3 linked regions of the Xenopus tropicalis genome follow. The protein of the gene in region 1 interacts with the protein of each later gene in a biochemical or structural test. Links are inferred from orthologs where the notes say so. Each region holds a gene or a part of one and is shown on either strand. Other genes may lie near its edges.

Evidence for each region.
Region 2: of the proteins of aurka (region 1) and nin, one has a biochemical effect on the other in vitro, tested with the Homo sapiens proteins (2 studies listed by BioGRID). The link is inferred for Xenopus tropicalis from reciprocal best matches to the Homo sapiens genes AURKA and NIN.
Region 3: the proteins of aurka (region 1) and incenp form a complex in vitro, tested with the Homo sapiens proteins (3 studies listed by BioGRID and IntAct, with this or other methods). The link is inferred for Xenopus tropicalis from reciprocal best matches to the Homo sapiens genes AURKA and INCENP.

What each region holds. Positions count from the first base shown.
Region 1 is NC_030686.2:6,093,800-6,097,963, reverse strand, and holds the end of aurka (aurora kinase A), read right to left. Parts: intron 4,138-4,164; coding exon 3,999-4,137; intron 3,647-3,998; coding exon 3,498-3,646; intron 2,453-3,497; coding exon 2,278-2,452; intron 2,020-2,277; coding exon 1,840-2,019; 3' UTR 1,168-1,839; downstream 1-1,167. UniProt on the Homo sapiens protein: Mitotic serine/threonine kinase that contributes to the regulation of cell cycle progression.
Region 2 is NC_030684.2:96,223,227-96,227,183, reverse strand, and holds the start of nin (ninein), read right to left. Parts: upstream 2,801-3,957; 5' UTR 2,429-2,800; intron 1-2,428. UniProt on the Homo sapiens protein: Centrosomal protein required in the positioning and anchorage of the microtubule minus-end in epithelial cells. May also act as a centrosome maturation factor.
Region 3 is NC_030680.2:22,838,897-22,842,983, reverse strand, and holds the start of incenp (inner centromere protein), read right to left. Parts: upstream 2,801-4,087; 5' UTR 2,750-2,800; intron 1,224-2,749; 5' UTR 1,216-1,223; coding exon 1,079-1,215; intron 1-1,078. UniProt on the Homo sapiens protein: Component of the chromosomal passenger complex (CPC), a complex that acts as a key regulator of mitosis.

The sequences.
Region 1 (4,164 bases):
GGGAACCAGAATTATATGGAAATAAATTATTTTTACATCTAAATATATAGACGTTTCACCCTTGGGTTTCTTATTAATGACCTCAAAACAGCTGCCTGGGCCTTTAATTAAAGGGGAAGCTTGGGGTGTATATAGAGTACACATTTAATGGACATTTAACCATTGCTTATACCCTGCAGAGCTGCTTATACCCGGGCTGCCTTGCTGGGCTCTTTACACTATTTCTGCATTCAGCAGGCTGATTATCTCCGACCATATGGCTGTGGGGCAGATTATGGCTGCTGATTGGGAGCCCTTGGCTCGGCCCAACTGGGAAACCTTGAGCTCACAGAAGTATGGGTTCCACCTATTGGTTGGCAGAGGTTATTACAGCAGCCTAATGGACCAAATAAAAATGCCAACCAGTTCCTTATGGTTATACAGTACCTAGGTTACCATTCTGGCCCCCCCCCAAAGGAATTAAAAACAAAAAAATCCTAGTGGCTAAGTGATTAAAAGGTAGGAAGTAGTAATAGGATTGTGATAGAAAGCAGAGATCTTATCCCTATCCTATTGTCGGTGTGATCCAGAAGTCTAACTGGCCTTCAGGCTGGGCCCCCTTAGCCCATAACAAGGTTACAGATATATAGAAACATTGGGGTAACAGTCACCCCGCTATAGTTCCAGGGGTACCCAGGGCACAAATAAGCACTCACCCCAAATCCCCCCCTAACTGGCCTTCAGGCTGGGCCCCCTTAGCCCATAACAAGGTTATAGATATATAGAAACATTGGGGTAACAGTCACCCCGCTATAGTTCCAGGGGTACCTAGGGCACAAATAAGCACTCACCCCAAATCCCCCCCTAACTGGCCTTCAGGCTGGGCCCCCTTAGCCCATAACAAGGTTATAGATATATAGAAACATTGGGGTAACAGTCATGTTGCAGGCTTCCAACTCACAATAAAGTGCCAGTAGCCCTGTAGGCAGCCTATTCTATAATAACCTTCATGGCTCTATGCTTACTGACCCATCTGGGCTAGTGTCAGACTAGTAATGTACCATCTTCCTGCTTAGGGGAGCCCCATGTCTTTGCCCTTCTTTCTTCCCCCCATTGGAATCTATGGATTTCGGGGTACCAGCCCATTTTGCCACCCATTCCCTAACTGAGAAAGGCACCGTTTGGCAGTAACTTTTTCAATCAGCTTTATTTTAAAACACAGAAAGAAAAGGGAGCATCTTAGAACAGATTTTTATGCTTTTCTAAAAAGTGTTGTTAACACATAAAAGGACAGACGAGATATAAGTTGATACAGAATAGGTATTTACACTGAATTCATTCTCTCAGTATTCAGAGCAGCTGTGTAATGGGACAGCCATATTAGCAGCCTAATAAATATACCCAAGGCATTCACATCACTATTGCACCGGCCAAGGAAACCTTACAATCTCTGTATAATCAATCAGTGGTGTCGGAACCGGCAGATTTTAGTTGTCAGTGCGTATACAGTTTTATAACTGCCGCATCTGGGGTTAAACATCCATAGTAAAGGGAACCTGTGCCAGTAGCAGAGCAGTGGTTTGTGACGATAGAAGTTATAAAGCACCGGGCCTCGTGGCCCCTTTAAAGAACCCGTCGTTCCAGATCAGGCAGTCTAGTCCCATTCACAAAAGGCACGCAAGGCGGTGAGTGTTCCATGGTACATTGCCTTGTGTTGGAGTCAATAAGCAAATACTGAGCTGTGAGTTGCCAGATTGTGACCCCCCCCCCCCCCCATTAAACAGGGCAGGGGGGTATCCAGCAGGTGCAAATTGCTGTGCCTTCTCACATTTGGGAAAGTAAAGATCCACAGGGGATTTCCTATTGAGCCCCTGTAACCGGCCCCTCTTTCCTCTTGGGCTTTTGAGCAGAATTATCTATGATCCACGGATGTTCGAGAACCCCCTTCAGGGACAGCCTGTGGTTTGGGTTGTGCTTTAACAGCTTCGATACGAGATCTCTGGCTCCTTCCGATACATACGAAGGATACTGAAATTCAACCTGCAGAAAATAAAGCAGTTGGGAGGGGGGGTTATACTGGGAAGGGGTATGAAGCGCAGCACTAAATATGTCATGTTTGTATTTAGACCCCCCCATCAGATTTAGTGGTAACAAGACCAGTTTGACCATAGCCAGTCTAGTTGGAATCAGTACTGATATTTATAATAGTGAAGCACCTCACCCCAGTGATGGGAGCACCCTGCCTGTCCGTATGTTGGGCACGGAGGTGGGAGTACTAAGGGGGATATAGAAAGATACCTTTGAAATACGTCTGTAGGTTTCCTGGTGGGTGTCAGTCTCAAATGGAGGTTTCCCTACAAGGAACTCATAACAGAGGACTCCCAGGCTCCACAAGTCCACCTTCTCGTCGTGCATTCGGCCCTCAATCATCTCAGGAGGGAGATAGTCCAGGGTTCCGCACAGAGTGGTCCTCCTGAAGAGAAGCAAAATGGAAAGATCCAGATCTCAGAAATGCCAGGATATTGCACTAACTGGCCTTCAGGCTGGGCCCCCTTAGCCCATAACAAGGTTACAGATATATAGAAACATTGGGGTAACAGTCACCCCGCTATAGTTCCAGGGGTACCCAGGGCACAAATAAGCACTCACCCCAAATCCCCCCTAACTGGCCTTCAGGCTGGGCCCCCTTAGCCCATAACAAGGTTACAGATATATAGAAACATTGGGGGTAACAATCACCCCGCTATAGTTCCAGGGGTACCCAGGGCACAAATAAACACTCACCCCAAATCCCCCCCCTAACTGGCCTTCAGGCTGGGCCCCCTTAGCCCATAACAAGGTTACAGATATATAGAAACATTGGGGTAACAATCACCCCGCTATAGTTCCAGGGGTACCCAGGGCACAAATAAGCACTCACCCCAAATCCCCCCCCTAACTGGCCTTCAGGCTGGGCCCCCTTAGCCCATAACAAGGTTACAGATATATAGAAACATTGGGGTAACAGTCACCCCGCTATAGTTCCAGGGGTACCCAGGGCACAAATAAGCACTCACCCCAAATCCCCCCTAACTGGCCTTCAGGCTGGGCCCCCTTAGCCCATAACAAGGTTACAGATATATAGAAACATTGGGGTAACAGTCACCCCGCTATAGTTCCAGGGGTACCCAGGGCACAAATAAGCACTCACCCCAAATCCCCCCTAACTGGCCTTCAGGCTGGACCCCCTTAGCCCATAACAAGGTTACAGATATATAGAAACATTGGGGTAACAGTCACCCTGCATACAAGTTATTTTTATTGTGACATACTGAAAAACTACGCTTGCATCATGCTTTATGGCAGGCTTGCTATATACTCTGAGAAAAAAGTCCCAGAAGACACGTGGGCCTTACATTGCAAGGGATCTGCTTTATGCAATAGGCACCCAAGTGCAAATCTCCCAATAATTTCCTGCAAGGACAGTACACCCTAACGCAGCAGAATTCCATCCCTTCTCTCCCCTTGAACCCCTGTACCTGGAGGACGGCGCGTGCACAGACCAACCAAAGTCAGCGATCTTCAGTTCCCCGTTGGCACCGAGCAGCAAGTTCTCTGGCTTGATATCCCGGTGTATCACGTTCTTGGAGTGACAGTACAGGAGGGCTTCTGCCAGCTGTTTGATGTACTGGGGGGGGGGGGGGGGAATGATAAAGGCACTGGTTAAAACCTCCCATTACATAGAGAATCAGATTTACCAACATGGGGTCAGTAATGCATAGCAACCAATCAGTTAACAGTTTTGTCTTGTCTACAAGTTGTGGTTGGGTTGCTATGGGCAGCAGTACCGGTGCAACCAATTACCCACACAGGGTATGCAGAGTCAAAGTTGCAATAGTTCTAGTGACCTATAGAATCAGATGCCTGCCAACTGGTTGCTATGGGTTACAAGACCTCGCACAAGCTTTGTATATTACTTGGCTCCCTTTCCCCATAGTATTCCCCTGGGTAGGGATACAAAGGGCCATCAGCAGACATACCAAGGCGCTCTTCTGCTCATCAAATCTGGTGACTTTCTGCAGCTCTCGGAACAGCTCCCCGCCGGGGGCATAATCCAGGATTAGGTAGACTCGGGCGGCATCATGGAAGTACCCATATAGCCGGAGGATGTTTGGATGCCTGGAAAGAGATTTCCCATGATGACTC
Region 2 (3,957 bases), on another chromosome or scaffold:
CTCCCCTAGCAACTGAGGTGTGTTAGGAGCCACAACAAGTCCATTACCACTAACACAAACACTTCACACCCTGCCTACAGCTCTGTTGAAACAAACATTAGTGTGCAGACAGTACTCAGTGGGATTGCATTCAGTATAATTATACCCAAGCCCTATGACCCTATTTACGGAGGGAGATTAGCTCTTGCTGTAACCCATATATTAAACACATATAAGAGAGAAGCTTTTGTGTCTGGGGCAAACAAATATTAGGCTCAGCTGCACACAGAAATGGTCTGATATGTTCATTAGTTTAAACCCCCCCTGTAATCCAGAGAACTGCAGAAAATCTCAAATACCATATGGCTGATATGATGACATACAACCTCTTGCACACATTGGAGTGATCATAAAATGTCCCCTCATATGCATTATTATGGGTTAAAAGTTATTTTTTTTCACAGAAAGTCACCTTAAATGTGTTACCTTTTGCTTCTAGAAAAAGTAAGCAGCTAACTAGATGGGTCAACAATCAAGAAATGATGTCAGCAAAAGGGTTAATGGGCTGGATACAAGCAAAACATTTGGAAAAGTGGTTTGCTTTCCCTTGGAAATTCATGGCCATACTTTGTTGAAAGTGACAATAAAAGGAAGCAGATGGGAGCGTTAAAGGAAAAATTAACTACACCAGAGCTCATCCACAAGCCCAGGCAACTAACTGTGCCAGCCTAGCCAGAAAAAAACAGCTAATTCCCAGAGAGAAATGCACAGCACCCAAGGGTTCTTTGCTGTCAGCCCCCATGGATCACATGCACTGTTGTAATGAAATAATGCTACAGGCTGCAGAACGAATACAGGGACTGTCAAACTCCCTTTCTGGACTACAGCTCCCATGCCAGCCAACAAAAAGGGCAGATTATGGGTTTAACTCTTTGGTTACATCAGCTGCTATATTTTTTAAATATCCGATGTATGATTTCACTATAAATACACACCACTACCCTTGGCAGTGCTATACACTGTGTTATTCATTAAGCAGGGAGAGAAGTATGATGGCAACTGCAAATCAGCATAGAAACTCCATAGTGACAACAGTTGTGTGGCTTCACTGAACCACTGAGGCAGTTTCCCAGTCCAGTAGAAGCTAGTGCTGCACATTAGTAGTACCAAGAGTATATTGTGTATTCATCCTGGCACAGCCACTGCATAAACCCCTGGCACAAGCCCTTTACCAATCCCCATGACCTTTAAAGTTTATGTCTCCCAGTTAGTGCCAAGAGATCCGTTAAACCATGCAATGGCAGTATCTGTATCCCTAGCAGTGGCACAAGATCTCTTCTCATCACCAAACATGCTCATTAGGTGCCCCTAGCAGTGGCACAAGATCTCTTCTCATCACCAAACATGCTCATTAGGTGCCCCTGGCAGTGGCACAAGATCTCTACTCATCACCAAACATGCTCATTAGGTGCCCCTGGCAGTGGCACAAGATCTCTACTCATCACCAAACATGCTCATTAGGTGCCCCTGGCAGTGGCACAAGATCTCTACTCATCACCAAACATGCTCATTAGGTGCCCCTGGCAGTGGCACAAGATCTCTACTCATCACCAAACATGCTCATTAGGTGCCCCTGGCAGTGGCACAAGATCTCTACTCATCACCAAACATGCTCATTAGGTGCCCCTGGCAGTGGCACAAGATCTCTACTCATCACCAAACATGCTCATTAGGTGCCCCTGGCAGTGGCACAAGATCTCTACTCATCACCAAACATGCTCATTAGGTGCCCCTGGCAGTGGCACAAGATCTCTACTCATCACCAAACATGCTCATTAGGTGCCCCTGGCAGTGGCACAAGATCTCTACTCATCACCAAACATGCTCATTAGGTGCCCCTGGCAGTGGCACAAGATCTCTACTCATCACCAAACATGCTCATTAGGTGCCCCTGGCAGTGGCACAAGATCTCTACTCATCACCAAACATGCTCATTAGGTGCCCCTGGCAGTGGCACAAGATCTCTACTCATCACCAAACATGCTCATTAGGTGCCCCTGGCAGTGGCACAAGATCTCTACTCATCACCAAACATGCTCATTAGGTGCCCCTGGCAGTGGCACAAGATCTCTACTCATCACCAAACATGCTCATTAGGTGCCCCTGGCAGTGGTACATGATCTCTAAACGTAGCATGCATTCTAAGAGCCTGTATCCCATTCCCTGACAATAGCATGGCACAGTGATTTCCTGGCCAGACACCACTCTGGTTTCCTCTATTTTCGCTCGGGTAAGTACAGCTCTGTGCCACAAGCGCCCATGTGAGATGAGCGGCACAAGAAACGCGAGCATTGGGCTTGGCTCCTGGCTGATTCAGCATTTGGATCACAAGTACAGATTGGGCTTCCCTAAACCAGAGACCGCCCTCCCCTCTAAAACCGTTACATACCCCTCTTGTTCCTGCGCCAGAAGATCCGCTCTCACTCCATCCCGGGGCTGGGGCTGTGTGTGCGGAGAGCTGCCCTGTGTAGCGCGGTGACGGGGCCGGGGGAATGGGGACTGGATGCTGGAGTTGGTGAGCTTCTGGTCCCCTGGTCTCCACAGCCCGGTTACCCTTCCACCGATCTCTAGCTGAGCTGTTTGAATGGTCAGAGACAGTAGGAGGAGAGACCTTACGTCTGTAGGCGTGGGAAAGACATGGAACCCAGAGAGAAGGCGCACACGCTCCCCCCACAGGCAAACACGGGGAGCTGCCACAGAACGCAGCCAGCAGGGCAGGGAGCGGTGCGTCTGCTACTCGGATGCTGCGACCTAAGGTCAACCCAACCCCCCGACCGAATGAGTGGGGTTTAAAAAGTGAAAGAGCTGGAGGTTGATCGACTCTTGAATAAATCTCATGTCAGAAGAATGCTTCAGTTTTGTTATGCCCTAAAGCAGGCATTGTAATGCGCTACTACTTGTTACTGGGCATGTTCTGACCTATTACTTGTATCATGTTGAGCATTATAGCATCTGTATTACTTTTCTGCCAAGAACAATGCAGGCTTTTTTATTGGAATTACTGGTCTAGATACTCTTCAAAAAGTATCGGGGGTTTTGGTGAATAGAAGTGCATATTTCAAAATACACATTTTAGACAGTCTTAACTGGGCCATGCAGGAATGCCCCAATATACTGGGCCCAATAATACCATGTGGTAGAATGTCCTCCAAAATGTGCAGTAGGGGTAGGAAAATGGTGTAAGTGGGATATATATATATATAAAAAAAATTTTTCAATAAAACCACTTTTTCTTTTGTATCAAGTCCCTATGTGTGCGGCACTCTTTCTATTATATTTTTGTTTTTTGACCTGCACCAAGAGCATTTGGACTTGTATAGGGTGTGCTCCTCCCTGTATACTATATATATATATATATACAGTGGTGTGAAAAACTATTTTATTCCTGATTTCTTATTCTTTTGCATGTTTGTCACACTTAAATGTTTCTGCTCATCAAAAACCGTTAACTATTAGTCAAAGATAACATAATTGAACACAAAATGCAGTTTTTAAATGAAGGTTTACGTTATTAAGGGAGAAAAAAAACTCCAAATCTACATGGCCCTGTGTGAAAAAGTGATTGCCCCCCTTGTTAAAAAATAACTTAACTGTGGTTTATCACACCTGAGTTCAATTTCTGTAGTCACCCCCAGGCCTGATTACTGCCACACCTGTTTCAATCAAGAAATCACTTAAATAGGAGCTACCTGACACAGAGAAGTAGACCAAAAGCACCTCAAAAGCTAGACATCATGCCAAGATCCAAAGAAATTGAGGAACAAATGAGAACAAAAGTAATTGAGATCTATCAGTCTGGTAAAGGTTATAAAGCCATTTCTAAAGCTTTGGGACTCCAGCGAACCACAGTGAGAGCCATTATCCACAAATGGCAAAACATGGAACAGTGGTGAACCTTCCCAGGAGTGGCCGGCCGAC
Region 3 (4,087 bases), on another chromosome or scaffold:
ACTCAAGACAAACAATAGAAGCAGGCTTGTTTCTTCCCTCAAGCAGAACTTTCTGCATTCCAGATGTATTGCGCACACCTATCTATACATATACCAAACAAAAGCCCTACAGGCACACAGTCTGGACTGAAACAATATTTTAAATCAATTCAGAAGAAATATTTGTAGGATTTAATTAGAGCTTTTGGGCTGGAGGAAGTGGATTTCTTGCAAACATTATTATATATTCCACATTTTCTGGATACAGTCTTGCAGAACAGAGGTATGGAATGTATTACGTATTTTATAAATGTTAAAGGGTTACACAGTTAATCTGGGTTGCCTGGCAAGAAGGCATTCCAGTAACAAAAAAATCAAGTTAACCCGGAAGCTGTTTCAGATTAGCTTTCTTTGCCAAACAATAACCACAACCTAAACAATATGGTTAAAAACTTAACATGCTTGTGACCTAAAAATTCTAGGGCGAACTTTCAATTTCTGGGTACAAGTGCATCATCAATACCGACTGTTTGCAGTGATAGGATAGGCTAAAGGGCACTACTGGGGAGAGACTTGCAGATATGCCTGCATTTGTTAAATAGTTATAAATAAAAAAAAATAACTAAGGCCCATAAAGCATTTATCCAGTTCACTTGCTAGTCAACATTTGCTACTTGGACCAACCAATCAGGAAATACAAACTGGACTCCTGCCACCCTTTTACAGGAATGGGCATCACAAAAACCTTTGTGGCACTAAACTCTTGCCTCCCCAGGACCTTTATTACTTACCAGAAGAAACAGCCATGACATGGAGCTTAAGAGGGAAACAGACCCGTTTGGCTGACGCAACCCATGGAAACAGTGCATCCAGCCTATAGATCCACTCCACAAACACAATGCAATGGTTGCAGCAAACATGTGATGGGACTTTAGAGTTTGACACTGGTAAGTAATAGGGCATTAGGAAAGGCAGGGATTATTGTTTAAAAAGATATTATATATGATTATATGATGCTAAATCAGTAGACTGAGCATGCATTCCATATCTAGCGATAGAGTAATAAGTGTCGAATTGTTATGGTTCATACAGAACGCACCTGCTGAACATTTTTCTTGCCTCTTCTTCAATCTCCAGAAGCCAAACCATGTGCTTGCTGTCAAGAGTCCGAACAAACTCCTCCGTCTTGCGAGCACACACCTGCAAGAGGTGGGACAGGCACTCCGCGTCGTTCATGGTGGAACCTGCAAAATAAAGAGGACTTACTAATAGCAGATAACATTACAATGAAAGTCATCAGCAGACAACTTGGCTTTATTAGAAACATAACTTGTAGTTTACTCTCATAGAGGGTCAAACATATACCAAACAGGAGACAACTAGATCCTGTCACACAATGCAGTGTAGTAAAGCCTTGGGTATAAAACACACAGAGCAATTTAGTAGCATCTACTTGTCACAGCTACTAAACGCCAGAAAATACCCTGCCATAGACAATACTGAGAATTGCTTCTGATAAAACACAGACAGTCATCAGTAAATGATCAACATTGTCTATTTTAGTAGCTGTGACAAGTAGCTGCTACAAGTAGCTCTGTGTGTCTTCACCCTAACAGACCAGGGGATACCAAAATGCCAATTTCTGTGAGAGAAAAAAGCATCCCCAATGACACTCCTCAGAAAATTCTACATGAGCTGACAAGAACACCGTGCAGGAGATGCTGCCAGCAGTAGTCACTTAACCTTTTGGTGGCCAGCCAGTGCAATGCTGTCTAAAACTGCTAATAATATGAAAACTACAACAAAAAAAATGAATGTACATTGCTGGCAAACAGAGTACTATCAATGTATTTATATGCTTCCAGGTTTTGTTTAAGTCAGTGAAACAAAAAGCAGACTTGGAGCACTCCTGCAGCTGGCATGGAATGAGTTAAATAAAAGTCTTGGTGGGTTGTGACAAAATAAGCAAAAAATTAAAAATTTAAACTAGTGGTTTTAAGATTTATTTGTATTTTTTAGGTGATACCCCTGCGTTAAGATACAAAACAAGATTGGGGGCCTCTTAAGCAGAAAGCAAAATAATTAGATTTAAAAAAAATGATTTCCTGCCTCTCTATAATAAGACAATACTCTGTACTTGATGGTAACCAAGTTGCATGAATTTATATTGGTTTCAATAAAACAAAAACCAATTCCTAAGCATTTTGGGTATCAGACCCCACACTGCAGTACAGCAATCCCCATAACTGACCCTTATGTTAGGATTACACACATAAATAGGAAAACAAACACAACCTCTACAATATCCAACGTAATTTTAAATTATGATGCCACCCCCAGTCATTGCCCCAGGCTTTCCTATAGCAGCCAACTCTGCATTGAGCTAAATATGTCAGGCTGGGCCATTTCAACACAAGGGGGGGGGACCGGTCCATTTAAACCCGAAGGGGTCAGCGCTGGTCATTTAAACCCAAAGGGGGCATGCCGGCCCCATACGGCTTGAGGATATTATGTCCGGCTGGTAGAGGGAGAAAGCCTTGGATAGTGCGTAGTTATTCGCGACAAATACGGGGCTTATAGGGAACCCAGATAGAGAGAAGGGGTGAGGGACAGAGCTGTGCAGCTGCAGCGCATCAGAGGTTGTTAGAGGCCAGTCTGGAACCTCCAGCAGTGGAGATAGAGCCTCACAGCGGCCAGCCGGGCAGTCTGACAGGAACCTATGAGAAGCATGCCGTGGGCACGGAAAGGGTTAACATTAGCCGGCACTTACCGATTCCGGGTCCCGTACCGTGCGCTGCTTTGTAACCCGCTCTTATTTTCCTTTGCGTTTTTTCCCACCCCGTCCTGCACAAGCGGTGCCTTCCTCTCCCGCCCAAAGAGTTCAAATGTTTCAAAAACCTAACGGCCGTAGCTGAGAGGCTGTGACATCAGAAGGAGGGGCTTGCGAACCCAGGCTCGCTCATTGATTGGTTAGCTTGACACCTAGGGGGCGGGGCTGTTTGGGGAAGGAAAGTAGCTCTATGGTAGTGGAGGACTCACAAATGCGCTAGTGGGATATTATACTAAATAATTGCGTTTGTTGTACTATTGTGCAGGTACTGTCTGCTTAAAGCTCAGTACGCAGATCCGGATTTGTACTGAATGGGGCTCTAGAAGCGTAATCCTTTCGGTCCCAACATGCTGCTCGCAAAAATGAGAACATTTACGGAAAAAACTACTGTAGCTGCAATGGGTCATTTAAATGCGCGTTTAGATTATTTCTTTATCTAAGCGACAGTCCTGGTGCTTTATGGCTGTGATTATAGTGATGTTTTTGCGGCAACTCACCTTCTCTGAAAATATTTACGAAGGTTGATTGGCTCCTGACAGCACTGACCATAGTGTCTGTGATTGTCATAGGGGCATTAGGGCAAGGACTGATGTGAATACAATAAGAATGTGATTGTTTTTGAAATTGTGTATAAAAAAAAACAATTTGATGCAGGCCTAAGGTATGGATGCCCAAGACATGCCCCCTGCTGTTTTCTGCCACCCCCCCCCCCCCCCCCTTTTCAACTTCCTAATGCACAGGGCCAGAGTACCACAAGGCCTAACAGTATGTGCCCAAGAGCCTACCCCCCCCCCCCCCATGTAATGCAGTTTGGTTTTTTTATATATAAAAAATATATAAAATAATTAGGGTTCAAATTTAGTTCAGAAGTCAGACAGATCTTTCCAGAGGTTTCAAACCTTATGGATCCAGTGCATCCACAGTTAAAAAAAAGTAGCATTTCTATCATGCTGAGCTTGAGAATAATATGTTGTTTTCTAATTCTTATATATGATCATTTCTGCTTGTGAGTTGCATCAAAATGAGAACTGCTATAAAGGGAGACCATGTTCTACATCAGGGATCCTAAACCTTTTTTTATCCCTGAGACACACTCAAATGTAAAGAGAGTTGGGGAGCAACACATGCAACATGTTCCTGGGGTGCCAAATAAGGGCTGTAATTGGCTATCTGATAGCCCCTATGTGGCCTGGCAGCCTACAGAGTTCAGAGTTCAGTTTGGCAGTACACCTGGTTTTTATGTAACCAAAATGTGACTTTAAGCCAGTAATCTAAAAA